4 linked regions of the Arabidopsis thaliana genome follow. The protein of the gene in region 2 interacts with the protein of the main gene of each other region in a pairwise test. Each region holds a gene or a part of one and is shown on either strand. Other genes may lie near its edges.

Region 1 (7,519 bases), on a different chromosome or scaffold from region 2:
CGCCTTCTTCGCCGCTACACTCATCTGCAGAGTGGCGATTCGTCGGAGCAGCTTCTCCTTCGCTTCCGCCATCGCTGAGCTTGGTTCCTCCGGTCTCATGACTGAAGATATTGTATTCAACGAGACATTGCTCGAGTTCGCCGCCATTGATCCCGGAGAACCTAACTTCAAACAGGAAGTCGATTTGATTTCCGATTACGACCACACTCGGAGAAGCCACCGTCGACATTTCAGCTCCATGTCAATAAGACCAAGCGAGCAACAACGCCGTGTGAGTAGAGACATTGCTTCCTCCTCCAAGTTTCCGGTAACGCTTCGTTCTTCTCAGGCTTATCGTTACTGGTCAGAGTTCAAAAGAAATTTACGGCTTTGGGCTCGTAGAAGAGCTTATGAACCTAATATCATGTTAGATTTGATCAGATTAGTTAAGAATCCGATTGATGTTCACAATGGTGTTGTTTCGATTTCGAGTGAAAGATACTTATCTTGTGCAGTGGTTGGGAATAGTGGTACATTGCTAAATAGTCAATACGGAGATCTCATTGATAAGCATGAGATTGTGATTCGGTTGAACAATGCGAAAACAGAGAGGTTTGAGAAGAAGGTTGGATCGAAAACAAATATATCTTTCATAAATAGTAACATTTTGCATCAATGTGGGAGAAGGGAGAGTTGCTATTGTCATCCTTATGGTGAAACAGTGCCTATTGTGATGTACATTTGCCAACCGATTCATGTTTTGGATTACACTTTGTGTAAACCATCTCATCGAGCTCCTCTGCTTATCACGGATCCGAGGTTCGATGTCATGTGTGCTAGAATCGTGAAGTATTACTCGGTGAAGAAGTTCTTGGAAGAGAAGAAAGCGAAAGGGTTTGTCGATTGGAGTAAAGATCATGAAGGCTCGTTGTTTCACTATTCGTCGGGTATGCAGGCTGTGATGCTTGCAGTGGGGATTTGTGAGAAAGTTAGTGTCTTCGGGTTTGGGAAGTTGAATTCAACCAAGCACCATTACCATACTAATCAGAAAGCAGAGCTGAAGCTTCATGACTATGAAGCAGAGTATAGATTGTATCGAGACCTGGAAAACAGTCCCAGGGCCATTCCATTCTTACCAAAAGAATTCAAGATCCCTTTGGTACAAGTTTACCATTGAATATACATATATACCATCAAGAGTTTTGTCATGTAGTTATTGTTGTTCAAGCGAAGAAGCTTGTTGGCAAGAGTGTCGTTTTGTCCAAGTCCCAAAGATTTTGCTTCAGATTGGGCAGTGAAGATGCAACACTTTCCCAATGGTAAGAGTACTCTTTACAATTTTTAGATTTGTGTTGTCACACATATTGAAATATATATATGGTATATTTGGACGATATTCTCACATCAATATAAACCAAAATCATTCAGATTGACGTGTCGATCGAAAAAGTTAATCCCACACGCAAGTTTAATACGTTTGAGTAGTACGTTTATTCATGCAAAACACAAAAGCGTGAATCCTTGTAACAACAAGAAGATCGAAAGCTATTATATGTAATGAAAAGAGAGACAATATAATAGGAAGAGTCTTTAATTGAGGATTATCGTACAATAATGAAGTGAAGCACACCAATTTTCTCTTCTAATACAAATACATGAGAGAAACAGAAAATTCACGTGCTTCACAAAATTTTAAAGAGAGAAACCATCTTTATTAAGAAGAAAACCCTAATTAAGATTGAAATCATACTTACTACTAATCACTAAGATAAATAGGGGTTTACTCGAGCCACAAAATGCTCTCCGACAAATACATCCCTCGGACAAAGAGAAGTTTTTGTTAGTGAGCATAATTAAACCTCCTTTTTTTCTTAAGGTTACTTATTTAGTAGCAAAAATCCCCTACCAAACCAAGAACCCTAATATCACATGCATATTACGTAACACACAAATACTCAAATCTATGTCTCAAACTAAAGCAAAATAAAATAAAAACAGACAGATGACACCGGGTTTCATGTAGACTTAATCGTAACCGTATCCAAAGGAAAAAGATCTAAATTTTAAAATGTTGCTTCATTTTATGTGGTAACTTTATATATTTTGATTTCGAGTCTAACAAAGAATTTCTACCTTTTCAAGATAGAAATTCTTTGGTAGACTTGAGATGTTTTGTGGCGCACAGTTTGAAGCAACATTAGAAAATTAGGATCTTACCTTCCACAGTCTCCCCGGTGTATCTAACAACATTCTCACTCTGTGGTGACGCATTCTGTATCCTCCTCAAAACCGTCAAACAAAAGAGACGGGTGAGGAGAATGTCCACTGCCAAAGGACCTAATGTGGTCCTTGAGAGACCTCTTATGCTTGAAATCTGATCCACATGTACAATACCAAAGCTTTCCGCAGTTTTTCTCATGGGTCCTCCAGTCGCCTTTCACAGCCAAGGCTTTGCCACATTTTCCGCAAGAAAAGGGCTTGGAGCCATGCTTACGTTTGTAATGTGTCTGAAGTGTACGGAAATCTTTCAGGGGCTTGGACCGCGGATGGTTGATGTTGTTCTTGCATCCCTCGGCACAGCAATAGCATGGCAGCCGCAGGATGGCTGCCGGTTGGATTGTGCCTTTCAACGAGTCAGCCCCTTTTCTGAACTCAGATCCATGTCCCCACATATGCATCTGTGTTTTGCATATATAAATTCATTAGACCATAAGAACTCTATTTTATTTTGAATATTATCAATTTAACATATTGATATTGTATGGTACCTAATAGACAATTATATATGATCTGTAGGACAGAAATTTCTTGTCCCATTATGTTTCTAAATAGTACTCGAATGCTTGTTCTAGTCAAGACTCAGGAGTGCATTTGCATTTAGGAGACTTATCAATAATACACAAATGTATAAAATTGTGCATATATTTATCACTGTAGGAATAGGGAATGGAATGGATATAAAAGGACTTGACGAAACTCTTGACCACGTATATGGTAATCACAATTTCAATAAGAAACCATATATGATGTAAGAAAAATGTGTTTTCTACTTAATTAACAAGTGGTATTGGGATAATGATTTTAATTTCGAACTAAAGTTGGGACGAAAGAAAATTTATAGTAAATGGTAAAGGAGAGAATCCTATGTAAAATATATAAACTTAGAAACCAATGATACTTAATTAGAAGGCTTTTTAATTACTAAGATCTTCATTAGGTTAAGTAATCGATTGCATATATTCAGTAAAAGTAGTATGATCATTGCTTTTTAAATTTTCTCCCCCTTTTTGGGTTTTTGCTGAATTATACTTTACCAAATCCCACTCCGTGATTATTCTTTTGCTTTTTGGCTTTTCAACCAAAAGGCAAGGCAAACAATGAAAAAAAGTCAAAAAGTTTTTCGAAGATTTCTCAACTAATCCAGAAGTTATATACCCATTCATCCTTCTCTTAATTTATCTATTGCGAATGATACACCAACCGCAATTAATTATCGTAATAACTAAGTCATCAATGTTCAACATCTTTAAATGACAAAAACTAATTTCCTTCCAACATTATGCATGTATGTATATATACGATAATATATTTTGTAGAATGTAAGATCATCATATACATATGCAGCAAAATTCTCACAAAAAGAAGTGTATGATCAATAGAAGGAATTAATTTACATGGTAATGTATGATCATACAATTATATAAACAATTATTTAACTGTTTTTAAACATTTATACACAAAGTACAATACATTACGGAATACATAATAATAATATACTTCTTTTTGTTTAAAATATGTTGTTAATTATTTTGTTATTAATGTGTTGTTGAATAATTAAGATATATATAAAGTTTTGTTTGCTGCGATATGATAAGTTTCCCTTTGAGGGGAAAATGTTATTCTTCAAAAACAAAATGAATTTATCGACCGTTTTTTGTTTTTTGCTAGCTTATATGGGAAAATAAGTAAATAACCATAAATGAATTAATACCCTATGATAATGGCAAAGGTAAAGTTGATATAGTGCTAATGTTTCTTTTTCTTGGTAAATAATACATTGACATATAGTAAGAATGGTTAACACATAATGCAAGATTTGTAGCTGATATGTAGATTATCTAACAAATCATATAGGAAAAAGATGATATTTAGAGAGAAGACGTACCTGCATGTTATTGTACCTATTGAATGTTTTGCTGCAAATAGAGCAAGCAAATTGCATTGGACCGACATGAATCTGAGCCGGACTTGGTATCCAAAACCTCTTCCCACATACTTCCACATCAGAATCAATTATCTCCTCATCAAACTTCATCTTCCTCCTCTTCTTCATCATCACCACACCATCTTCTATTATCTCTCTCTTGATGGGTTTCTTCTGATGATCGAAAGTTATATCAGAGCCATCCTCCGAGCTACCACGGTGGTATTTAGGAAATCCGATTTGGAGGGTAACCACATCATCCTTATTCTCTTCTTTGATATCCGAGGCTTGACTATTATTTTCCATGAGCTTGTTTAGAAGAGGCAAGCATTGAATAGACGTGTTGAGTGGTTCTTGTGGTTGGTACAAGAATAGAGATCGTTCCAACATGTTCATCTGACTCTGGTGGTGATTTGATCTTGATATAGCATCTCTTGTCTTCCCACGATATAACACAGATTTAGAAGAAGTAGTAGAAGATTGAGGTTTAAGCCATTCAATAAAGCTTGGGGATTCGAAACTTAAGCCTTTCGTCTCATAAGAATTCATCTCTCGCTTTCTCTCCTCTCTTTCACTCTCCCTCTCTCTCTCTCTCTCTACCTCCACACGAAGAAGGGTAAGACTAGTAGTATGAAAAGTTTATATATTAATATCAACCTACCTGGTGTGTATCGTAGCCGTTCGTCAAAATAGGTTCTCTCTTTATTTTTCTCCAATACAAAATCTTCTTCTTTAAAGTTTTGTTTTCTTTTCCTCCTACCCCCCAAAACGTATAGTGCAGAAATGTCGCACGTGTCTGTCTACGCGTTTACATCAAGAGGAAAAGAGTGAAATTTTCTTCACAAAAATGTGGTGGGTCTTACTTCACATAGTGAAAAGGAAACGCACAAGCGCAAGGCTTTTCAATGAAAGAGAATCCTAAGAATCATAGTCTTTTTTTTTTTCTTCTTTACCCTCATTTCCTTTCCCATTATTAAAATTTTGTAACATCTTAAACCAACAAATACGATATCCTTTCATCATATTATAGTCATGATTGTCATTTAAGTGCATATAGACCGGCGAAGACAAAATTCATCATTACATATCAAAACAACAATTCCAACATCATTTTAGCCGTCTTTTTAGGGACAAATGATAAAAAAAGGTAAATTGTTATAAAATCACGCGTTCACTTTTATTGACGTTGGATGATCCAAGTAGCAGATTACACGATATTGATGATACATACACTGTTTTTCATACGCAAGACTTTTCTAGCTAGTACTCTAATCCATGATTTGCACTTTATTTAAAGATATATGAAAATATTTATTAGCTTTGGAAATGAGTTCACTGATATTCTTTGATGCATGATTGGGTTCACGGGTCTATAGTTGATATGGCAGCCCACACACGTATATGTTTGCAAATGGTACTATAGAAAACTGAATCCAAAAAGTGTGAAACTACTTTGGTTGTATTTCATTCCCGTTTTAAATCTGTCGAAGCTATATTCATTCAGAAGTAATAAAGCTTAACATTAATCCAAAAAGCAGTCGCATTAGACATTCCCATCCTCACGGTAGCGTTAGAAAGACTGGAATGGAGCACAACAAGCAGATGAGATGACCTACACGAAGGAGTACGTTGACCCAAAAACTGTAATGAATTTACGTTAATTTTTGTGTTATAGACGAGGTTTTAGGACGTTGTAAGATTTTGAATACAAAGAGGTAGTGGAGTTTTGACCCATTAAGCACAAGATTTTTCTTAGAAAACAAAAAGGTTACCGCAAGTAAGTCAATACCTGAAGAATAAAATACTTGAAAGAAAAACCTAAGAAGAGTGAGTATTCATTTTAAGACGAAAATAGAAGCTGATTCAATGTATGTGTCATGTTGTGGTGGACCCTAAAACAATATTAACCGCGCAAAATTTCCGAATGGTAGTATAGCTAACCGTTGAACCGTATGCTACTATGCTTTCATTCACTAAAGAATTATGGTTTACGTCCCATGCGGTTCAAACACGGTATATACATATCTGGTCATATTTTGTGAAACCGGGTTTGAACAACTCACCAATACAATAGTACTACAATTCAAATTAAATTTTTCTTTTTGTAATTAAACTTCATTTTGGTATAATTAAAGAAAAAAAATGTTTCCTTTTGTTGACCGATACAATGACTGTATATTCAAAAAATTACTTTTAGACATCCAAATTATATTTTCATCTATCAATTACAATATTATGAAAATTATATATTTACAGATGCTAAATCAAAAACGGTACGTTTCACCTTAAACCCTAACCCTCCGAATGAGCTAGAGAGACACCAGCCCTTCTATTAAAAGTTAAAACCCTTCCCTCTTTACTTCTCCGATAGCTTTTTATTTTCCTCGTTTTTGCGCCGACCAATGCAAGGGAATCGCGACGGCTCGTGGTCACTACGCGCCTCCGCGTACGGTGGAAGCGGCAATGGAAACGGAGGGTATCTTCCTCAAACGACTCCTGTATTTCACAATTACATTGTCAAACAACAACAACCCATCAGATACAATTTCCAGACGCAGCAGAATCTCAATTTCCCTCATCCACAATTTGGCGGCGGCGCTAATGTAGAACTTATTCGAATTGATAAGGCCGTAAACAATACGCGTAAATCATTAATTGCTGCTGGAGACAACGTATCTTCGACTAGAGTTTCGCAATCGGTTTTAGCACAACTTCAGGCTGACACTTGGCGTTCCTTGGGGATATGGATGCAAGATGTTCCTTCGCTTCGCCAACTCATGGCCCTTGAAGGCAAGGTAAAGCTTAAAATTTTCTATATTGCAAATGAAACAGAGCCTATCTATTGCAAAGTTGATTCCTTTTACTTAAAACCTTTGAATCTTGTAGATCATTGCATTTATTCACTGCTTCATTGGCGCTAGAGGAATCGTGACATTGCATGATTTGGAAGTGGCAATATGCCAAAACGAGTTTGTTGGTTGTTTTGATGATCTGGGATTGGGACCTTTGCTGCAGCATCCACTTGTCTTGCTCTATTTTCCATCCGTCTATTGTTCTACTGCCCCAGTTAAGATCACTAGTGAGGAGATAATATCATTACTTGATAGCTATCTAAACACTTACGATATTGACGATGTTAAGCTCGATGAATTCCTGGATTTTGTTGCTGAGGCTAAAGCAGTTACAAGCAAGGAAAAGCTTGGTGTCCGTATTCAGAACTTGCGGTATGATCAGTTTGATAGTTTTTCTGTGCGTTGTTAAGATCTTTTGATTTTTTTGGATGTTGAATTGAAGTTTGGTTACAAGTGAATGAATCTGGTTTTTAAGGAATCACTA
Region 2 (7,921 bases):
AGATATCGACTATGACAAGAAAACCTGATCGTCACGTATCTAGCCATTTTGTGCATCATCAGATCCATTATGTAATTAATCAATAAGAGGACTGCACAGTCGGCCCTAAAAAAATGTTATGAGTTAAACATTTCAAAACATGCTTGCAAATAAACTGTGATAGCAACATTTTATTAATTAGTTCGATAAAACAAGTGAATTTGGGTTCATATATAATTATGGTTCCATTATTTCCTTTTTAATCTCATTCTAACACAAATATACAGATATGTTTACACAAAGTTAGAACACAATAAGATTTTCTGTCTTAGACAGAAAGCTTGATAACAAATTATAAGAAACTAAAGACATTCATGTTATAAGAGTCTTGTGAGTTCTAGACAAAAAGGTTCAAGGTTTACAAAATAAAAAGTAGAACCTTTGAGAAAGACAGTAATTTCTCACGTTTTTTCGGAAAGTTCAGTCATCACTATCAACACACACATGAGTATACATGATATCTTTACAAAATAATTAGTTTCTTTATCTTGAACTTTGATGTAAATTGCAAATGATTCGAGATAAAATGAATTCTTGCCTAATTATCTTCGTGAGTTTAGAGAAATTTGTGATCAATTGAGCTCCATAGGTCCTACAGGCCCGACTTAACACATGTGTTAGGAGTGCTAGACGATATGGTCCAAAAAAAAATCTTTATTTAATTCATACAAAAAGTTCTACTTTTTTGAAAAACAAATAGCTACTAATTATGATTATATGTTTCTCATTTTTACATCCCTCGTTGTATAGCAGAAGCACAACATGCTGATTATTCTGGTACAAGTTAATAAAGCAAAGTTGTGTTGAAAAAAAAAAAAAAAACTACTTATATTTAAAAAATTAAAAATATTCTTAGTTATCTAAAAAAACAGAACCACTAATCAAGAAATATACCTTAAAATTCTAAATTTGGTTTAAAAAATAAATATGGAAATATCCAAGTTTCTTAAAAGTAACATTTCTATAATTAGAAACCACACTTCTTTAATAATAATCATAGGCCAATATTTTTTTTCCAATAACCCTTAATTTTTTTGGGTCCGCTCTAGCACCGGGTCTTGCCAATATTTGAGCCGAACCTCTTTCCAGAACACAACTTCTACTCGTAATTTTCATTATTCTTTCCATTGTGAAGATACAAATTTGTTGTGTTGGAAGATGTCAATGTGAACGGATATAATGGTAGGTTAATGAGAATGTTTTTTTATGGTAGTGTTCTAGAATCAGTAGAGAAGTCATATGAAGTAGATGATGATATACATGGTGAGATGAAGGGAAAACAGTTACCTTTTGGAATAGGGTTGAACCTCTCCAAAAAGTGAAGTTGATCACTGATAATACAAGGAAATGATAAAGAGGTGACATTCGAGTGATCAATGAACCTGTTTCCTCCTAAATGTTGTTAGTAACATGTTTGATTGTATGTTGTTAGAATGGTTTATCAGAGTGCATTCGCACAACTATCCAATCTCTCGAGATCTTCTCTATTCGTTTTGATATTTTGAACTTTTTGAAAACCTCTCAATCTATTGATAAGACAACTTTTTTATGAAAAAATCAAGTTTGAGAACTAGGTTTTGTGTTTATTGATCTAGTTTACTTAGTCATATTCACTAAGTCGTCAATATGGTATGCTTTCAACAATAACATAGTAATTTGAATGCCTCGTACATTTTAGGCGATTTTCTATTACAATGTTTTGGTAGAGAATACGTATTTGTATATTTATGATGTATACGTGCATATACATTAATTGTTTTGTCGGTTTATTATGATCAAACAATAGTTTGTCTGTCAGAAGATTCAAGAAATATCTTTGAATCTGAGAGTTTCCAAAAAACGTTATGATGAAAATTTGGCATATACGTATTTCTGACAAGCTGATAATATTGTCATCTTGCATTTCAAGCAGTTTCGACAAAATTTTATCCAACTGTTATATTCAAACTAATTGAAAATCGAAAAACCACCATTAAAAATTAGTTAAAAATAACATATCATTTTGAAAATGCAATATTTAAAAATTTAACATATCAATTTAACATGCTTGTTTTCTTAATAAGTTTTGATATATTATAAAATGAACCGCGTGATTACAATTTTTCTTTTTGTGATGGAACTGTCGTTAGTTAAACACTTAAACTTAAACTTTCATGTAAGTTTTGTTTATTCATATTTGACTCAATTGAAACCCAATAATCAAGAATGTCAAATATTATATGTTTTGTCGGATTTGTAACGTGATTCTCGCTCATTTAATAATGTGATAATATCATAAAATTTAATCTATGTAGTTGTTTAATATGATATTAAACTTTATTAATGTAATAAGATCGATAATACTAAGTTACTAACCCAAATCATACACTTACGAGTTACGACACTACCGCACTATCTTGGTTATATTAAATACTCCTTTTGTTTCTAATAGTTTGATGTTTATATCAACATTATTATTTACTTTCATTTGTTACCGATAGAAAGAGGAGAAAATTGTTGACAAAAACAAAGAAAAAAGTAAAATTAATATTATTAAATTAATAAAAATAACAAACTGTAAAAGCTATTTTTAAAAATTTTTCTTGTAAAACATCTAAAAATTATTCTTGTAGAAACAGAGGAATATCATTGAAGATAATAGTGTGAAATTATATATATATATAGAAATATATAAAGTAGGATTTTTTTCTGTATACAAATATACGTTTCCAATTTTATCAAAAACTGTAAAGATTTTTTTCTTTGTCAGTACCTGCTAAACTTGTTAATTTTTTTATTAAAAAAAAATCAAATTACAATTCTTCTATAATCATTTTAAATTCCATTTCTTTATACCACAAAAGATTATATTGCCTTTATCGTCTTTGGTATGTATGCGTGAATATATTTATTTATTTTCTTTTCTTTCATTTTCTTTTTAAAGAACTTTATAAATGAAATAAGGAACAAACAATATACACATGTACTAACGTATATAAATAATATCATCAATATCTATCCAAAACTTGGATTTCATGGTTGACGTGGCCCAACCAAAATCTCAAGTTCTCTGCGGATGACGAACCATCTCACCATCTCTTTTTTTCTCTCTCTTTTTTTTTTTTAATATCATCAGCACGGTTACATAAAATTCGTGATCCATGAAGTTGGCTTTCTTGTCGTTTTACTTCATCACCCCATTTTTTTAAAGTCTCCATCTTTATACTTCTTCAACTCTCCACCACCACCATTGTCACCACCACATTTAAACACACACTTTCACTTGTAGTGGGATTCGAAAGTGCGTTTTATTCATTTGTTTTACTGTTTTTGATAACCTCAAAATTTGCCTAAATTTTATTCTCTATAAATCCTTATATGTTTTACTTACATTCCTAAAGTTTTCAACTTTCTTGAGCTTCAAAAAGTACCTCCAATGGCTTCTTCTGCATTTGCTTTTCCTTCTTACATAATAACCAAAGGAGGACTTTCAACTGATTCTTGTAAATCAACTTCTTTGTCTTCTTCTAGATCTTTGGTTACAGATCTTCCATCACCATGTCTGAAACCCAACAACAATTCCCATGTAAGTTCACTTCTCTCTTCTCTGCTTCATCATGGAACTTGATTTAAGAACTATGAGATTTTGTAGCTTGCCCATTTGCTGAAATCTTGAATTAAATAATGGGTTTACTTTGTTTTTGACAAAAGTCAAACAAATTTGACTCCTTTTCTTAGTTACTTTATTGGAAATCTGTGGAAAATATAGTGAAATTAGACCAATAATATTGCTTCTTTGGTTCTGATTTCTGGGAACTGATTAGAGAAAATGACAGCTTTTGCGATTTGGGTTTTGTGTTGTGGTACAGTCAAACAGAAGAGCAAAAGTGTGTGCTTCACTTGCAGAGAAGGGTGAATATTATTCAAACAGACCACCAACTCCATTACTTGACACTATTAACTACCCAATCCACATGAAAAATCTTTCTGTCAAGGTAAAGATTCTAGCTTTGATGCATTTGTTTTAGCTTTCTTACAAATTGATGGATTGGTGGCATTTGGTAACAACTTATTGCAGGAACTGAAACAACTTTCTGATGAGCTGAGATCAGACGTGATCTTTAATGTGTCGAAAACCGGTGGACATTTGGGGTCAAGTCTTGGTGTTGTGGAGCTTACTGTGGCTCTTCATTACATTTTCAATACTCCACAAGACAAGATTCTTTGGGATGTTGGTCATCAGTCTTATCCTCATAAGATTCTTACTGGGAGAAGAGGAAAGATGCCTACAATGAGGCAAACCAATGGTCTCTCTGGTTTCACCAAACGAGGAGAGAGTGAACATGATTGCTTTGGTACTGGACACAGCTCAACCACAATATCTGCTGGTTTAGGTAATACAATCAATCATTCCTTTGGTGTGTTTGCCTTGTGTTGTTGTGTTTAGACAGTAAACTGTAATAAGAAAACAGAACTGAATCAGATATATGAGTTTTACAGGAATGGCGGTAGGAAGGGATTTGAAGGGGAAGAACAACAATGTGGTTGCTGTGATTGGTGATGGTGCGATGACGGCAGGACAGGCTTATGAAGCCATGAACAACGCCGGATATCTAGACTCTGATATGATTGTGATTCTTAATGACAACAAGCAAGTCTCATTACCTACAGCTACTTTGGATGGACCAAGTCCACCTGTTGGTGCATTGAGCAGTGCTCTTAGTCGGTTACAGTCTAACCCGGCTCTCAGAGAGTTGAGAGAAGTCGCAAAGGCAAGTTTATTGCATTTCTTTTCTAGAATGGTAAAGAATACTGGTCTTTATGGACTTGATGAGAATTTTGGCTTTTCTTGCGTATAGGGTATGACAAAGCAAATAGGCGGACCAATGCATCAGTTGGCGGCTAAGGTAGATGAGTATGCTCGAGGAATGATAAGCGGGACTGGATCGTCACTGTTTGAAGAACTCGGTCTTTACTATATTGGTCCAGTTGATGGGCACAACATAGATGATTTGGTAGCCATTCTTAAAGAAGTTAAGAGTACCAGAACCACAGGACCTGTACTTATTCATGTGGTGACGGAGAAAGGTCGTGGTTATCCTTACGCGGAGAGAGCTGATGACAAATACCATGGTAAAACAAGTTAGATAGATAACGTTTTCTCTAGTTCCTAAGCAGTGGGATATATATATTGATTATTTTTCTTTCAGGTGTTGTGAAATTTGATCCAGCAACGGGTAGACAGTTCAAAACTACTAATAAGACTCAATCTTACACAACTTACTTTGCGGAGGCATTAGTCGCAGAAGCAGAGGTAGACAAAGATGTGGTTGCGATTCATGCAGCCATGGGAGGTGGAACCGGGTTAAATCTCTTTCAACGTCGCTTCCCAACAAGATGTTTCGATGTAGGAATAGCGGAACAACACGCAGTTACTTTTGCTGCGGGTTTAGCCTGTGAAGGCCTTAAACCCTTCTGTGCAATCTATTCGTCTTTCATGCAGCGTGCTTATGACCAGGCAAGTTCAACATCTTAATCATTTTACTTTGTAATAAAACATTTTAAGAAACTAATAGAGTATATGGTGGCCTTCTCTGTAGGTTGTCCATGATGTTGATTTGCAAAAATTACCGGTGAGATTTGCAATGGATAGAGCTGGACTCGTTGGAGCTGATGGTCCGACACATTGTGGAGCTTTCGATGTGACATTTATGGCTTGTCTTCCTAACATGATAGTGATGGCTCCATCAGATGAAGCAGATCTCTTTAACATGGTTGCAACTGCTGTTGCGATTGATGATCGTCCTTCTTGTTTCCGTTACCCTAGAGGTAACGGTATTGGAGTTGCATTACCTCCCGGAAACAAAGGTGTTCCAATTGAGGTATAACTTTGGTCCTCTCAAATATGTCTCTCTTCCTTCATCATTTTGAGATAGAAAATCTCTTTGGGTGTATTTCAGATTGGGAAAGGTAGAATTTTAAAGGAAGGAGAGAGAGTTGCGTTGTTGGGTTATGGCTCAGCAGTTCAGAGCTGTTTAGGAGCGGCTGTAATGCTCGAAGAACGCGGATTAAACGTAACTGTAGCGGATGCACGGTTTTGCAAGCCATTGGACCGTGCTCTCATTCGCAGCTTAGCTAAGTCGCACGAGGTTCTGATCACGGTTGAAGAAGGTTCCATTGGAGGTTTTGGCTCGCACGTTGTTCAGTTTCTTGCTCTCGATGGTCTTCTTGATGGCAAACTCAAGGTTACTTATTACTTCCAGAAACTCTCTAATATTTTTCTGTCTTTTCAAAAAATACTGTTTCTAATTTGCAACTGTTTGAATATACAGTGGAGACCAATGGTACTGCCTGATCGATACATTGATCACGGTGCACCAGCTGATCAACTAGCTGAAGCTGGACTCATGCCATCTCACATCGCAGCAACCGCACTTAACTTAATCGGTGCACCAAGGGAAGCTCTGTTTTGAGAGTAAGAATCTGTTGGCTAAAACATATGTATACAAACACTCTAAATGCAACCCAAGGTTTCTTCTAAGTACTGATCAGAATTCCCGCCGAGAAGTCCTTTGGCAACAGCTATATATATTTACTAAGATTGTGAAGAGAAAGGCAAAGGCAAAGGTTGTGCAAAGATTAGTATTATGATAAAACTGGTATTTGTTTTGTAATTTTGTTTAGGATTGTGATGGAGATCGTGTTGTACAATAATCTAACATCTTGTAAAAATCAATTACATCTCTTTGTGTATCTTTCATAGCTTTGTGTGACATATTTTGGTACGAGCAGTGTTTTTAAACCTGGACCTATATATATGGCCTCATTGACTGACGATCGAACGTACCAATGCAGTGACCCGAACCACTTTCCGGTTTACATTCCAATCCGGTTTTACAAGATTGGATACAAGTATTTTTTTTTTCAAAATATCCCCAAAGAGCCTAAAGGCATTGAAAGACTCTATCTACAGAAGAGAGTTCTCTTGTTAAGAAAATATTAGACAATAATAGAGTATCTTCATTATGTTCTTATAATCTTATCTAATAATTACTCTCACTAAATAAGATGATTATGATTATAGTTTGCTTTCATAAAGATGAATGTATTCAGTTTTACTTATTAAGTATACTTTACTTGGGAATTTATCTATACCTAATAAATATAAAATAGTGTAATCATAATTAAATTGAATAAAAAAATGAAAAGAAAAGATATAGTATCTTAATTATGTTTATATCTAATATACTTCCTCTTTCACTAAAAAGATGATTTTAGGATTTATTTTTTTTGGTTCATAAAGATGAATGTAATCAATTTTATATATAAATTTATCTTCACCAATTAAATATACTATAATGTAAATCTTAAATAAATTGATCAATTTAATCTATAGATTAAAGTTAGAATGGATGAGAAAATTAGTTTATTAAAAATATGTGAATAGTTTAAAACACACAACTAAAAAACAAAGTGAACACATAATAATTTTGCAAACTACAAAATGGGGAGAAATGTGAAGATATTAGTTCATGCAATCCTTTTTTTTTTTTTTTTTTTCTTTCTAGAATCTCTCCACCTCCAAAGAAATGATTTGAATTTAAAATGATATGAAACTTAATGCTAAAAACCTGTAAAACGATCACCATTTAACAAACTACACTTTACGAAATAGTACATCTGTTGGCATTTTCATCATTCAACATCATAATTTTCGCCATTTCAGTTTCTTCTTGTTTCTTCCGAATTAATTCATCTTTCTCTTCATTTTTCCCATCATGAATCTCCAATTCTTTAATAACTTTCATGATTTTTTTCAACAACTTCTCCTTATTAAAACTTCCAGAGACCTTAATCTTTTGGTTCTCTTTATCCGGCACACATAATGTAACTCCTAATAATC
Region 3 (5,871 bases), 4.6 Mb from region 2:
TAGTTGTCACGCTGAGTCACAAATGTCAGCTTTTTTGGTTTCTGGCTTCATGATTCACTTCCATTTCTGTTTTAGTATTTTAAAGTTTGATCTTGTCCATTTTTATAACATCACAGTAGCATCTTTATGTAGTCACACGAACATAGAGTAAGAAGAATGGTTCTTGTACAACATTTTGGAAGCTTGATTTGAGTGATATCTAGACAAGAAACTCACAGAAAAAAATATATATGTTGTGGAGGAAAGAATTTAGTAGGTTAACTAATAACTATAGTGCTTGTGGTGTAGCAATTTCTTATTTTATCACTGAAACCGAGATAAGTCGTATTTCAGAACATGATTTGCTACGATGGCGTTTGTCTTCTCTGTTGGGTGAAATGAGTCCCAAAATACATATTTGCTTGCATCCGAACATGTGAATGGGTTCATTTTATCACACAAGTAGCTCATCTCATAGTATCCCGTTCCGCAACACGCACTTCTTACGTTTTCGAAACCTGCAATGCACATAGGAATATTATCATAAGAATTCTTGATTTAAGAGCATTTGGTACATATTGAAACTTAGCCCTATGTCTTTGCAGGGTTGCAATGGTTGGGAAAATATTTTTGTTAGAACTTTGTACTAACCGAATGCTTCAGGATGGTATATGATTTCTGAAACAAGGTCATATGGATTTGAAAACACCAGCTGGATTCCGTTCAGATCTCTGTTCAACTGGAAGACTTTCTCTTCCATCTTGATGTTGAAATCTCTAGCCACAATGTTGTATTCTTCAATACATTTGCTTCCATAAAAGAGCTGAGTTGTTCTTTCCAGGGGTAAGCATCCAAAAGGAGAGAGTCCCGACAAAGACATCTTCCGAGCTCCGAGTCTGTATATATCTGTCACGAAATCTGCTGCTATTCCTATCAGGAAATATTGGTACTCGTTCACTGAGTACTTCCGTAACTTGCGGGGAAGAAGATAGTAATTCTCCAGGAAATCGTTGGTTCCGATACTAATCAGGTAAAGTGATTCACTAATAATCTCATTAGCTTTCTCTTCACCCAAGTAGCTTCTTAGCCTGGTTTGGTATTCTTTGTAGTATTCCACTTCCTTCCATAGCGGCATTACAGACTTTAGAAATCGATGACAATTCAGAGAAAGCATGTCAGAAATCTAAGTCCAGTACAGTAGAATATATATATGTTGTAAGATATATAACTATGCTTGACTTACTAACACGGCAGAGGTTGCATTGTCTAAGCCGGTTCCAGCTGAAGCGAAACAGACACCAGTGGCAAAGTCTGCAATGTTGTATGCTGGATCTAGGTAGGCAGGGACTGCGTTCTTGAGTCCCAAACCTTCAGAAATGAAGTCTGGTGCAATCCGGCCATTTGAAAATCTCCCAGTCGCTTTGCCGTCAAAGTAATCCCGGCCATATGGCTGGAAATTGCTCTTCAGAACAGTAGAAATCTGGTTGTTGTTGCCTGAATCAACAGTTGAGTCACCAAATACGATAAGTGCGGGAAATTTTGCACACGTTTCAGGTATCTTCACCAAGAGCTGAGCTGCTAGCAACAAGAACGCAAGAACTCTGTTTCGCTGCATGCTTTTTACACAAGTTTTTTCAATTTTTTGCTTCTGCAAAACAAGAACCTCACGATTAATTGGGAAGAACAATTGGAGCAAGCATTTAAGATGGAGAAAGATAGGTATCTTCTATCAAACCTGACTAAAACAGATTTAGCTCGTGTAGTTAATACCTTGGCCTGTTGTTAGATGATGCTTATTAAATACTCCTTAGTCTGATATGTCTCTGTTTATTTTTGGCCACAGAGAGTTAGTTGAGGTGAGTAATGAGCTGAAAATGATTGAGAGTTTCAATAATAGTTGTGCAGCAGAGAGCCGTATTTATAGCTACTAAAAAAGAGAGAAAGACAGAATATTTTAAAATAGAAGGATTCGTACCATTGCAAGCTTCAGATGTATATGTAACGCATCTTCCTTTTTACCGGATTCACGCTCAAAACTCAACTCTCTGTTCTTGTATCACTTACTGTTTTTATTGCTTACTGAGTCTAGAGTCTTGAATGTAAAGATTATTTGCACTTTGGGTGAACTGTGTCGCACGTTTTGGGGCTTTTTAGTTCAACCATAGTTTTGGTTGTTGCAACGACAATAACAAGTAACGGCAAGAAAGTGTCTCTCATGCGTCAAATGTGACATTTCCGATAAAGTAACTTTGTTTTTTGAGTCTCAACTAAAGATTTATAAATTTATTGACAAGTGGTTCATAACATAGGTTTGCGTTTTGAATTAACTAGAGGCTATTAGCAATTAAGTGGTCATTTATCGTTTGTTGAATTATAGATTAAGTAGTTGAACATTAATTTCCAAATTCTCCCATCCAAATGACGTCAAATCTACACAACCTCTATATTAATCCAGCAATTTTAATTAAACACAAGAATGAAACTAAAAAAGCCAAACCACTTAGCAACAGTAACATACTGCTGCTTGTTCTGTTTGGTAGGACTGTACCAATCAGGCCCAGGAGATAAATGGACTTCGTCTGTCCCAAAGATATACAAGTACCTTTGGTTCTTTCTAGAGGCTTCTCAAATTAGCTTTCAAAATCTCCCATTTGCTATAATGACAATAATACCCTCACAGGCTCGCCGAATCAAAGCGATCATTTTAGCCTCAGCCCGCTCGTGCAGCGGTAAGGCTATTTACGTAAATTACTAAAAACCCCGAAAGAGAGAATTGTGAATTCTACTATCCATCCACCAAGCACTCTGTGTGCCTCTGCAAATTAACAATTTCCTCAGAACAATTACATTTCGATTCGATTCGATTCTCTTATCTTCTTGATCTCTGTTTGTTCATCTGTGGTGGATCTCCAGATGTTGGTTTTGAGAATTTTGTCGCGAGTAACCCGCAACGCGGGCATACGCTCATCTCTATCCGCCGTCACTCTTCCGGCGAGGAATCAGACTCCTGTTTTCTCGAGCCGGTTTCACTCCCTAGCTCACGATTTCTCGCATAAGGTTCGATTTTCACTCAAATTAATCACTATTCATGCCGAAATTGCAATTCAGGGTTTTGTTAGGGTTTAAGGCTTTCCCTCATTTGAGTTTCTAGAAATGATTGCTATCTTCTGATACTGTTTCCTTGATCTCTTATGTTTGAATCTTCAGATATATGAATAAACAATAGAAGAATGGTTTAGATTCTCTATAGGTTTTTGCTCTGTATCATTTCACTGAGTTTAACCCATTTTACTTTTTTTTTTGGGGGCAGCTTGTTCCAGCTCAGATGTCTATGATGGATTCGTTTGCACTGCAAAGGTTCAATTTTTCTTCCTCTACCTCGCCTGAATCAGATGAGAAGAAGACCCACACTGAGGCCTCAAAGACAAGTGAAGAGAAACCTACAGCTGAGGCAAACCAACCAGGTCTTGACTCTGAATCTAAAGATTCTGTGACAGATTCTGCAAAAAGAAAGCGGAAAGGTGCTAAAGGAGCTGCATCTTCATCTTCTGAATCAGATTCTGAGAGTGATGATGATGAATTGTCAGCCGATGATTTGGTGAAGCTCGTAGCTGAGAAGGAAGAGCTACTGTCTGAGAAGGAAGAAGAGATTAAGCAGTTGAAAGACAAAGTTCTTCGCACTTATGCTGAGATGGAGAATGTCATGGACAGAACAAGACGTGATGCTGAAAACACCAAAAAGTATGCCGTACAGGTTAGTCTTTAAGAACTTGGTTTGCAGCTTTTGTTTCATATAATAGTTTTCTGAAATATATATATTCACTATATATGTATGCAGAATTTTGCAAAGAGCCTATTGGATGTGGCGGATAATCTTGGAAGAGCTTCTTCGGTTGTCAAAGAAAGCTTCTCAAAGCTTGACACCTCAGAAGATTCTGCTGGAGCAGCTCCACTATTAAAGACCCTTTTAGAAGGAGTGGAGATGACTGAGAAACAGCTTGCTGAGGTAAATATCGAGAAATGTAATTATAAGACCTTAAGTAAGCAATGCAGATGAGACCGGTTAAACATGTGTGCCGCTGCAGGTATTTAAGAAATTTGGTATGGAGAAGTATGATCCTATAAACGAGCCATTTGATCCAAACAGACATAACGCAGTGTTCCAAGTCCCTGATGCTTCTAAGCCAGAAGGCACAGTTGCTCATGTCTTGAAGGTAAATATATAAAGCTTGCTCAATTCTTTGTCTCTTTATTTCATATTGTATAGTCTTAAATACCAATTAGTAATGATGGGTGTCAATATGTGCAGTCTGGATACACGCTGTATGACCGAGTTATAAGACCAGCTGAGGTTGGTGTTACCCAGGGAGGAGAGAACCAAGAAGAAAAGAAAGAGTCTGATGCTTAAGAAGAAGTCAGCTGGTTTTCATAAATTTTGTTACGGTTCTATGTTTCCATTAACATCTTCTCGAGTCTTCGAGTCATAGTTTTCTTTTGTGGTTTGGTTATTCATTAGATGAACAAGATCTCCCATAAGTTGCTGGACATGGCATTTGCAGGGGAAATCCTGCTTCTGTGTCTGTTTTCTCTATCTCCATGCTATAATTGAACGAGGAAAATATCATTTTACATCTCTTCTACTCGCACACTATTACCAAGTCTCTGTTTGATTAGTTAAATCAGATACAAATCAAGGTTTTACATGGTCTGATACAACCAGAAACTAACCATAGAGAAAGAAGCTGAAAACAGAGTCACAAAACTTGCACTCACTATTTAAAACCTCCCTTGCAACTTATGTTGAAGAATGTCTCCGAGCTTTTCATAAAGCATTTTCTGCTCCTCGTGTCCCAGGCTCCTCGATATCTGCAGGTATAATACAATCAATTATTTACAATGCCTCCGTATTCTTGGCTTATATGATGATTCTTACCTGGTCTAGGATCATCTCGACACTGTAGTCCCGATTAACAATGAAAGATTGGATGTAGATGTATGCGAAAACCGCCATAACCATCTGCATTTAGGCAACAAGATTCGTTTAAAACGATGCAAAGATCATATTGCACTTTTCGACGTTAGTGACTCTTACTTGGCAATCCATTCTGTCAGTAAATCCTCCATGTCCTGGTATGCTGTCTCCGAAATCCTGTCAAAGCGACATAAACTAGTAAATATTTGTTCTTGGATCTGTAGATACAAAACCTTTTAATGTTTGAAAAATGTGTTAACCTTGATCTTGAAAGCTCTTTTGAAACCGCTTGCGAAGAAGCCACCAAAAGGCGCCATAATGGATGCGAATAGACCGAGAGAAAAAGCATGCCATTGGACAGGCAGGGTCGAGATCCCTTTCCATGGAGACTGTTAAGCAAAGTTCACAACGGAGCTCAGTTTCAAAACAAGACAACATCATCGGCTGGTTTTCACGAGAGGACAGTTAATTGCTTACAAATGGAGTAATCCAAGAGGGAAATGGGTAATACTCTGGCCTGAAGAGAGGGCCTGGATCACAATGAAGCCAACCAGTTGATAAATCCTGCAAAAGATATGCAACACAAGGATGAAGTAAAGGCCGAGACAAAATATTGTGATGGAGATATCACTTTTTGTTACCTTCCTTGGACATGTAAGCCATTGGAACTGGCCTAAGACATTAGCAAACTGTTGTACGAAGCAGATAATAATCTATCAGTCTTGAGACCAAAAGAAAGAGTTACGAACGAATGAATAAATGATAGAAGAAGGTTATTACAATAAATGCAGAGATTATAGTTGCAACTGATGCTCCGATGAAACCTTCCCATGTTTTCTTTGGAGACAACTTGATGAGCGGAGTTTTCCCGAAATAGAAACCGAAGAAGTAAGCTGCTACATCGTTCATAGCAATCAGTG
Region 4 (8,744 bases), on a different chromosome or scaffold from region 2:
TTTAAGGAACAAAGAGTTTTTTTTTTACACACGGGAGGGACACGCACGAGATTTTTTTTGTTAAGGACGCGGTTTCTTTAAATGCAAATAGCTTTTTTCCTTCTAATATTAGTTTCTTCTTATCTGAAGTTTAATTATCTTGCTGTTTTTAGTAAATTATTATTTGACCATGGTTCAAATAATAAACTCATGTGTATCTAAGAGTTTAGTGATAATGGCAATGTAAACGTTCAAAGATATGGAAATTATAAACGTTTTAAAGAATGTCTCAAATGATAAGACCATGATCAATTCGGTGTTCTCCGTAAGCCTGGTTACTTGACAACGTAATCAGGTACGTAAAATAGGACAAAGACACGCCGGAGAGTTAGACTTATTATTGTTTGATGTTGATATCATGATATGTAGTAATCATATCGCATTTTACTCTGCTAGGATTGGATATGATCAACATCACTAACATATTCGAAAAAGAATATCAAGTGGACGAGTACGAATTCTACAACTTTACCATTCGAAAGTTTACCGTAAACTCTAAATGAAAATGTTTTAATAAATTTACATTGAATTACAGTTTAACAAAACCAACTAATGGTGGTATATATGATGGTAATTAGTTGAAGATTAGTTGTCTTCGGAAAAAAGTTACTAACTTAAAACTTGGAACCATGCATGTATTGCGATAATGAATGAGCATATAAGGTGGAATCTTTTGAAATGTAGAATAATCTCAAGCATCTTTCTTGGTTTCTTCTTCAGTAGTCAAGAGCAATACGCGTGGAATAACCCATACGTTTTCTATTTTTGCTTATTCTCGAAGGCGATTGGTTCTCATTTTCTCGATCGAATCATCCTTTTAATTCAACGATAGCCTCACGTCGCGTGGTCCTGACGCACTATCCATATTCTTTGCCACTTTATTCTCCTTCACGGAACATTTAAGTTAAACGCAAATATACACGTTAGTCCATATATTGGAGGAGACCATATTCACAAATTTTGATATATAACACAAAAAAAGTTTACCTGATTTTTCTTCTAGTACTTGATCTCATCACTCAACTACTTGCAAGTCTTGAAACTAATCATCAACTCACCATTCAGAATTTGTTTAGCAAAAAAATCACTCAATGATAACTAAAAACCCAACAAACATACACGATCATATTTCAAACGACACCATTGCCAATGACTTAAAAGTTTTTGACCAATGAAAATTTTAGCGTTGAGTATTTTGAATCACGTTCAGTTGCTCATCGTTATTTTCAGTAACTACAAAATGAACACAATTTAATCGTTAGTCGCTGAAAATTAGAAAACGAATATGACATAGTCATTAATGTTAATTACCATTAGCAAATACGAAATGAACATAATTTACATTAGAACCAAATAATTCTTTCTATGAAACTATCCGAAATCCAAATTCCGGATGCATTACAAGTCAACAGGTTTAGAATCAAATTACTGTAAAACAACCTTATCAAGGACTTTTTTTTTTGTGTTTCATCAATTGGTAAGTTTACTTTAATAAAATTGCAATATTAATATATTTATATATAATTCTTTGACAACATATCAAAATATTTTAAATTTGAAATTTGTATACATATTTCCCTTAACTTTTGTTTGTTTATATCCATATTTGGTAACTGTACAATGGGGATCCACTTTTGAATCAAAAAACACCACACTGAAACAAAAATAAAGAAAAGAAGAAAAACAAGTGAACCCATATCCATGTTCTGTCTGAATCCGAGTTTACTTCTTCTTAGTTACAGAGGAGGAAAAAAGGAAAACCTAAGCGGAAAGGGAATATCCAAAAAAAAAAAAAAAAAAAAAAGACAGAAGTATAAGAAAAGTATCCTGAACATGATAGGTCTCTCTCCCATCTATAACCTCTGCAATTTCTCTCGACCAAAACCCTAATTTCAGGTTTGGGGTTTTCCTTCTTTCACTGTAAGTACGAGCAATTATTTTCATATATATATGTACCTATATATATATACACACTTATATACTTGTTGATGAGCCTCTCGAATTCCCCAATCTTAAACACTCTTCTTCAATTCTACGTTCGATTTTAGCGATTTCGGAGTTCTCTTCTTCTGTCTTCGAATTTGTACGCACTTATTAGTTCTATACATATATCGATCGATATAGCATGTGTTTCTAGAGCTCTTAGGTTCAGTGATTGATCATGTGTGTGTGTGTGTTCGTTGAATTGGGGGATTTAACGGGTTTTGCTTACAAATATTGGATTTTGGGATTGTAATTTGGTTGATCTCTCTCTCAAATTCGAGCAGGAGTGTATAAGCTACCAATTTAGTTTTCTTTCCCTTTAGTGAGTGCTCAATTTCTGATTTTAGTTTGAAAATCTAGTGTTTTGACAATGCAGGTCAATTTTGATGAAACTTGTGATTCAGTGATTAGAATGAATGCTAATGAGCAAACTCGATCCGCCAATGGCATTGGCAATGGCAATGGTGAGTCTATTCCCGGGATTCCAGATGACTTACGGTGCAAGAGATCGGATGGTAAACAGTGGAGATGCACTGCAATGTCCATGGCTGATAAGACTGTTTGTGAGAAGCACTACATCCAAGCAAAGAAGCGGGCGGCTAATTCTGCTTTCAGGGCGAACCAGAAGAAAGCGAAAAGGCGATCATCGTTAGGCGAAACAGATACGTATTCGGAAGGGAAGATGGATGATTTCGAGTTACCAGTCACCAGCATTGACCACTATAATAACGGTCTTGCCTCTGCTTCCAAGAGTAATGGTAGACTAGAGAAGAGACATAATAAAAGCCTGATGCGGTACTCGCCCGAGACACCGATGATGAGGAGTTTCTCTCCACGTGTTGCAGTGGATTTGAATGATGACTTGGGTAGAGATGTTGTAATGTTTGAAGAGGGCTACAGATCTTATAGGACACCACCATCTGTTGCTGTTATGGATCCGACACGAAACAGATCACACCAAAGCACCAGTCCTATGGTAAGTTTCTTGTTTCTCATTGGTTAGACAAAGAACTTGTACACCCATATGTGTTTGTTTGCTTATAAGGATTAAAAGTAACTGGTTTTCTGTGTTGTAGGAATACTCAGCAGCAAGCACAGATGTGTCTGCAGAGTCTTTGGGGGAAATCTGCCATCAATGCCAGAGAAAAGATAGAGAGAGAATCATTTCTTGCCTCAAATGCAATCAAAGAGCCTTCTGCCACAATTGTCTATCGGCAAGGTGTGCTTTCTTTTCTTTTCATTCTGTTTATATCAGAATTCTATAAACCTTTGGTAGAAAGAGTTCGCGGTACTAATGATGTCTCATGCATTTTAAGGTACTCGGAGATATCACTTGAAGAAGTCGAGAAAGTTTGCCCTGCATGTCGTGGCTTGTGTGATTGCAAATCTTGCCTGCGTTCAGATAATACAATAAAGGTGTGGTCTCGTGTTATCATAAAGATTCAAACCAGTGCTACCTATTTTGGGGTTTGAAATTTAGGACCATGAGATGATTATGACTCTTTGTGAAAAATTGCAGGTTCGGATCCGGGAAATACCCGTTTTGGACAAGTTGCAGTATCTTTATCGTCTATTATCAGCTGTCCTACCAGTCATAAAGCAGATCCATCTTGAACAATGTATGGAAGTTGAACTAGAGAAGAGGCTTCGTGGTGAGACGAGTTTTTGTTTACAGTGACTATTGATGAATTATATATACTCGTAACATTTTTTGCGGTTAACACTAGTTTGTTCTACTCTATAGAAGTTGAGATTGATCTTGTCAGGGCAAGATTGAAAGCAGATGAGCAGATGTGCTGGTACTTGTGATCTATCTTACATGCCTTTCTTCTTTTGACTTAGTACTGCAACTATTTCTTGTTGGCACTTTGTATTATCGTACATGACTGAAGTTTTGTTTCTTGCAGCAACGTGTGTCGGATACCAGTTGTTGACTACTACCGTCACTGTCCGAACTGCTCATATGACCTTTGCCTGAGATGCTGTCAAGATCTACGGGAAGAGTCTTCAGTGACGATTAGTGGGACTAACCAAAACGTACAAGATAGAAAAGGAGCTCCCAAACTAAAACTAAACTTTTCATACAAGTTTCCTGAGTGGGAAGCCAACGGTGATGGGAGCATCCCTTGCCCTCCTAAGGAGTATGGAGGCTGCGGTTCACATTCTTTGAATCTTGCCCGCATTTTCAAGATGAATTGGGTTGCAAAGCTTGTGAAAAATGCTGAGGAGATTGTTAGTGGCTGCAAATTATCTGATCTTCTGAACCCTGATATGTGTGATTCAAGATTCTGCAAATTTGCTGAGAGAGAAGAGAGCGGTGACAACTACGTGTACAGCCCGTCGCTTGAAACGATTAAAACTGATGGAGTAGCTAAGTTTGAGCAACAATGGGCAGAGGGTCGGCTTGTTACTGTGAAAATGGTACTTGATGACTCATCTTGCTCTAGATGGGATCCTGAGACTATTTGGAGGGATATAGACGAGCTTTCGGACGAGAAACTGAGAGAACATGATCCATTCTTGAAGGCCATTAATTGCTTGGATGGTTTAGAGGTACATTTCTTCTTATCTTCTTATCTTCTTCATATTGTGAAGTCACAGATTCAGTAATGTTCATAACTTGATTCACAGGTTGATGTAAGACTTGGGGAGTTTACAAGAGCATATAAAGATGGAAAGAACCAAGAGACAGGTCTTCCGCTATTGTGGAAGTTAAAGGACTGGCCGAGCCCAAGTGCTTCCGAGGAGTTCATTTTCTACCAAAGACCTGAGTTTATCAGAAGTTTTCCGTTTCTCGAGTACATTCATCCCCGGTTAGGCCTTCTGAATGTTGCAGCCAAGTTACCTCATTACTCGCTCCAAAACGATTCAGGTCCAAAGATTTATGTGTCTTGTGGGACGTACCAAGAAATCAGTGCTGGCGATTCATTGACTGGTATTCACTACAACATGCGTGACATGGTACATTACTCAGCTCTTGGATTATAAGTGATCACATTTGTCTTATTTTGGTTGATAAGGGAAACTGGTTATATGTTAGGTCAACTGAGATTATTGTTAAAATATATAATGATTGAGTCGTTGAAACTGTTAATCAGGTATACCTATTGGTGCACACGTCTGAAGAAACAACATTCGAAAGGGTGAGAAAAACAAAACCTGTTCCAGAGGAACCTGACCAGAAGATGAGCGAAAATGAGTCACTTCTTAGCCCTGAGCAGAAATTAAGGGACGGAGAGTTACATGATCTATCACTTGGTGAAGCCAGTATGGAGAAGAATGAACCTGAGTTGGCGTTGACTGTGAATCCAGAGAACTTAACGGAAAACGGTGACAACATGGAATCTTCTTGCACATCTTCATGTGCAGGAGGAGCCCAGTGGGATGTCTTTCGACGCCAAGACGTCCCAAAGTTGTCCGGGTATTTGCAGAGAACATTCCAGAAGCCTGATAATATCCAGACTGATTTTGTAAGCCGTACCTGCTAATTCAAATAAATGAAGTGTGTAAAGTCTTGTATGTGGAATGATTGAGTTTCCTAGTTTGTTTACTCTGGTTTCAGGTGTCACGCCCGTTGTATGAAGGATTGTTCTTAAATGAACACCACAAGAGACAACTAAGAGACGAGTTTGGTAGGAAAAACAAACATTCTATTCCCTATTCTATTTCCAAACACTTAATCGCTTGGAAACCTGAGGGATGACTCTTGCTATTGTTTCAGGAGTTGAGCCATGGACATTTGAGCAACATCGTGGTGAGGCTATCTTCATTCCGGCTGGATGTCCGTTCCAAATCACTAATCTTCAGGTAAATTTATTTCGTTGCAACATTATTCCATTAAGTTTCTTTTCCCTTGAGCTAAACTAAACTTTTTTCCCATGTATACAATTCTCAGTCGAATATTCAGGTGGCACTTGACTTCTTGTGCCCTGAAAGCGTTGGAGAGTCAGCAAGACTAGCTGAAGAAATCCGGTGTTTACCAAACGACCACGAGGCAAAACTTCAGATTCTAGAGGTAACAAATCTTTGATTCTGCCTTCCCTTAGAACAAACCATTAACCATCTCAGTGCCTTCACTTCTAACTCTTGGAAATGGTTTGGGTTCTTAACATCAGATTGGAAAGATATCATTATACGCAGCTAGCTCAGCCATTAAAGAGGTTCAGAAACTGGTCTTGGATCCAAAGTAAGTAAAAAAGTATTGACACCAAAGCTAATATAAAGAGTATGAAGTGAATTTGAACTGACAATTTTTGAAATTTGGTTCCTTCGTTATGGCTGCAAAAGGTTTGGAGCAGAGCTTGGATTTGAAGACTCTAACTTAACCAAAGCAGTCTCTCACAACTTAGACGAGGCAACCAAGCGGCCGCAGCAAAACAGCTGCACTTAAATCAGTCAAGATTTGTATAGTAGTATAAAAATCATTGTTGTGACTTTAGTTTAGACGACTACTACTACTATTCAGGATTTGTAATGTATCTATGACTGTGTATATCATGCTTCATATAGTATATTCATAACCATCATTATTCCACATAATTTTTTCTACTACTAGACCATATGAAAGTTACTTCAACGAACTCCTAAGCAAACCAATAATAGAAACATTACTTCTGTCTAATAATGGAAGTAATAAGAATAACAAAGGAATAAAACCCTTTGTGTTAATATCGCTCTTCTGTACACACTTATTCTTCAGCATACAGCCAGGCCAATCTTCTCACATCCCGCGATCAAAACTTTCAGACTTAAGTCCGTTGAGCTCCTTAGCCACGCCTGAATGGAAGCTTCAATACAATCGGTGGAAGTTTACGGTATTCAGTTAGAACCGGCCTTGACTCCTGTACTTGATCCAGAGCCTTACTCTCAGTTCTTGCTTCATTGAGAAGATAGCTAGGCTTTGAATCCTCTATTTGATCCAAGGGCTTACTTGTTGGTGATTTCTTTGTAAAACTGCTTCTATCTTCTCCTCTGTGCTCCAAGTCTGCACTCCCATTTCTGTTACATGCTTTAGCTGAGCGCTTTTTCTTCGTTGAACTTTCATGTTTTCTCGGTTCTGGTTTAGTTGTGCTTTTCATTCTCTTGGTTATAAGAAAGTCGGATTCCAGAGCTTCCAGAGCCCGAGTGGTCAATGGTCGCTTTCTTGTGCTCTGTCTTCTAGGACCATCTGTCTTAATTTGTTGGTTGTGTTGTTGTTCAGATGAACCCATTTCTTGAGAAGTTCCCAGATCATTGGAAGGAGATCTATTGTTTGAGCCTGAAATGGAAGGAAGCTCAAATACTTGTTTTTGTTCCAGATCACTGGAAGCTCGTTTTTTGTCCAACTCTGACACTGAACAGATCCCATTTGTTTTTGGTTCTGCCGAAATGAGTTCATGGGCAGTTCTTATTTTCTCTGGTGAACAGTTCTTGTCGACACCAGTGTTGGAATTTAATCCGCTTGGTTCAATCGCTGTCGTTTCTTGAATCTCAACAAGCGAAGAAGATAGCCCAGTTCCAGTCTTTTTTGATTGATCAGACTTTAAGTTCATATGCTCAACCAACGGCACAATCTCTTTGTCCTGATTCATCTCTTCACAAGTGCTAGTTTGTTGTTGGACCACACATATACTTTGCTGCTCTGATTCAAGACAAATAGTCATTTTTGTGTCATTATCACCTGGTAAATGTTTGGACACTGGACTCTCTCTGGAAATGCAAGCACTGAGCCGTCTGCGTTTCAAATATGGTGCAGAATCTACAGCATAATAATTAGTTTCTGCTCGAGGGGTAGACCGAGGCTTAATAACCCTCTTTGATGGATCCTTAGCCTTCTCTAAAGTCTTCTCTTCCTTTATACCAGAATCAGCCCCTACATGACCCCTTCTTGTGTCATCACTTGGTAAACATCTCCATCTCCTAAACCCAGATAATTTTTCGCAGTGGTCCACACTCGTATCAACAATCGTGAACCGCATTGGGTCATCCACATGGTTCTTGGCATCCAGAGGCCTCACTTGAGACTTTTCCACATTCTGACTGTCCAGAGAATTTTTAAGCACAGAAGAATCTTTAGCTTCTAGACGAGCCTTTGGCTCAGAAACTACTAAACACTCTGCATTCAGATTCCGTAAATCACACAACTTTCCTCCAGTAGCCAAACTAGTGTCCACAACAGTGAATTTCATTCCCAGAGTTCCACGGTTAGAACATGGAGACCTGAGGTAACGGTGTCTTAGACTATCAGACGGGGAAGACTCTTCATCTGACTGGTCAGAAGGATTCTCTGCAGCCACTCCTCCTGTTTCATTCTCAAGAAGTTCAGGCTCTGACACAACCTTTGTTAGAATATCACTGACGGAATCAAAGTAATGATCTCCTTTGACAAGCTCTTGTCTTGAAAACTTTTTCACGCCAGGGACAATGAAAACAATGTAGTCCTTAGATTTGAAATAGCCTCGGTCCTCGGGCTGCTGTGAACGCCATCCTCTGGCTAGCAAACGCGGCCATACAGCGCCCCAGAATATATCATTGCAACGGGCTTTGCTCAGACGAGAACAGCCAGTTAACTGATTTATTATGCCAGCCGATGTGAGGGAATTGTAATCCCCTTCTCCAGGGACCAAAGAAGATTTTGAAGAAACAGTGAACCATGGTTTGGTCTTCATTGGGGTTGATGTAGGAACCGTGAGATCTTCTTTTTCTTTACCAATCGCCACAGCGTCTACCAGAAGCCTGAGACC

The links.
Region 1: the proteins of CLA1 (region 2) and WIP3 interact in a two-hybrid assay, tested with the Arabidopsis thaliana proteins (one study listed by BioGRID).
Region 3: the proteins of CLA1 (region 2) and AR192 interact in a two-hybrid assay, tested with the Arabidopsis thaliana proteins (one study listed by BioGRID).
Region 4: the proteins of CLA1 (region 2) and AT1G09060 interact in a two-hybrid assay, tested with the Arabidopsis thaliana proteins (one study listed by BioGRID).

The regions. Positions count from the first base shown.
Region 1 is NC_003070.9:2,608,449-2,615,967, forward strand, and holds WIP3 (WIP domain protein 3), read right to left. Parts: upstream 4,930-7,519; 5' UTR 4,733-4,929; coding exon 4,145-4,732; intron 2,658-4,144; coding exon 2,232-2,657; 3' UTR 1,548-2,231; downstream 1-1,547. Other genes in the region: AT1G08280 (Glycosyltransferase family 29 (sialyltransferase) family protein), read left to right, coding at 1-1,156; NVL (no vein-like protein), read left to right, coding at 6,326-6,456, 6,555-6,978, 7,070-7,407. UniProt on the Arabidopsis thaliana protein: Probable transcriptional regulator.
Region 2 is NC_003075.7:8,880,764-8,888,684, forward strand, and holds CLA1 (Deoxyxylulose-5-phosphate synthase), read left to right. Parts: upstream 1-3,061; 5' UTR 3,062-3,454; coding exon 3,455-3,604; intron 3,605-3,887; coding exon 3,888-4,013; intron 4,014-4,096; coding exon 4,097-4,412; intron 4,413-4,518; coding exon 4,519-4,790; intron 4,791-4,877; coding exon 4,878-5,151; intron 5,152-5,228; coding exon 5,229-5,536; intron 5,537-5,618; coding exon 5,619-5,900; intron 5,901-5,978; coding exon 5,979-6,263; intron 6,264-6,350; coding exon 6,351-6,491; 3' UTR 6,492-6,904; downstream 6,905-7,921. Other genes in the region: AT4G15562 (superoxide dismutase 1 copper chaperone-like protein), read right to left, coding at 7,683-7,912.
Region 3 is NC_003075.7:13,483,582-13,489,452, reverse strand, and holds AR192 (Co-chaperone GrpE family protein), read left to right. Parts: upstream 1-2,594; 5' UTR 2,595-2,892; coding exon 2,893-3,036; intron 3,037-3,289; coding exon 3,290-3,733; intron 3,734-3,817; coding exon 3,818-3,985; intron 3,986-4,064; coding exon 4,065-4,193; intron 4,194-4,288; coding exon 4,289-4,387; 3' UTR 4,388-4,614; downstream 4,615-5,871. Other genes in the region: AT4G26790 (GDSL-like Lipase/Acylhydrolase superfamily protein), read right to left, coding at 304-497, 631-1,120, 1,223-1,594; AT4G26770 (Phosphatidate cytidylyltransferase family protein), read right to left, coding at 4,756-4,845, 4,913-4,996, 5,072-5,128, 5,212-5,340, 5,429-5,515, 5,593-5,640, 5,732-5,871. UniProt on the Arabidopsis thaliana protein: Essential component of the PAM complex, a complex required for the translocation of transit peptide-containing proteins from the inner membrane into the mitochondrial matrix in an ATP-dependent manner.
Region 4 is NC_003070.9:2,918,903-2,927,646, reverse strand, and holds AT1G09060 (JmjC domain protein JMJ24), read left to right. Parts: upstream 1-1,890; 5' UTR 1,891-1,959; intron 1,960-2,321; exon of another isoform or gene 2,322-2,382; 5' UTR 2,383-2,392; coding exon 2,393-2,998; intron 2,999-3,098; coding exon 3,099-3,241; intron 3,242-3,338; coding exon 3,339-3,438; intron 3,439-3,541; coding exon 3,542-3,674; intron 3,675-3,766; coding exon 3,767-3,821; intron 3,822-3,929; coding exon 3,930-4,575; intron 4,576-4,653; coding exon 4,654-4,983; intron 4,984-5,120; coding exon 5,121-5,492; intron 5,493-5,584; coding exon 5,585-5,654; intron 5,655-5,743; coding exon 5,744-5,829; intron 5,830-5,917; coding exon 5,918-6,037; intron 6,038-6,137; coding exon 6,138-6,208; intron 6,209-6,309; coding exon 6,310-6,412; 3' UTR 6,413-6,583; downstream 6,584-8,744. Other genes in the region: AT1G09050 (arginine-glutamic acid dipeptide repeat protein), read right to left, coding at 6,789-8,744. UniProt on the Arabidopsis thaliana protein: Binds histone H3 but seems to have lost demethylase activity probably due to its inability to bind iron Fe(2+).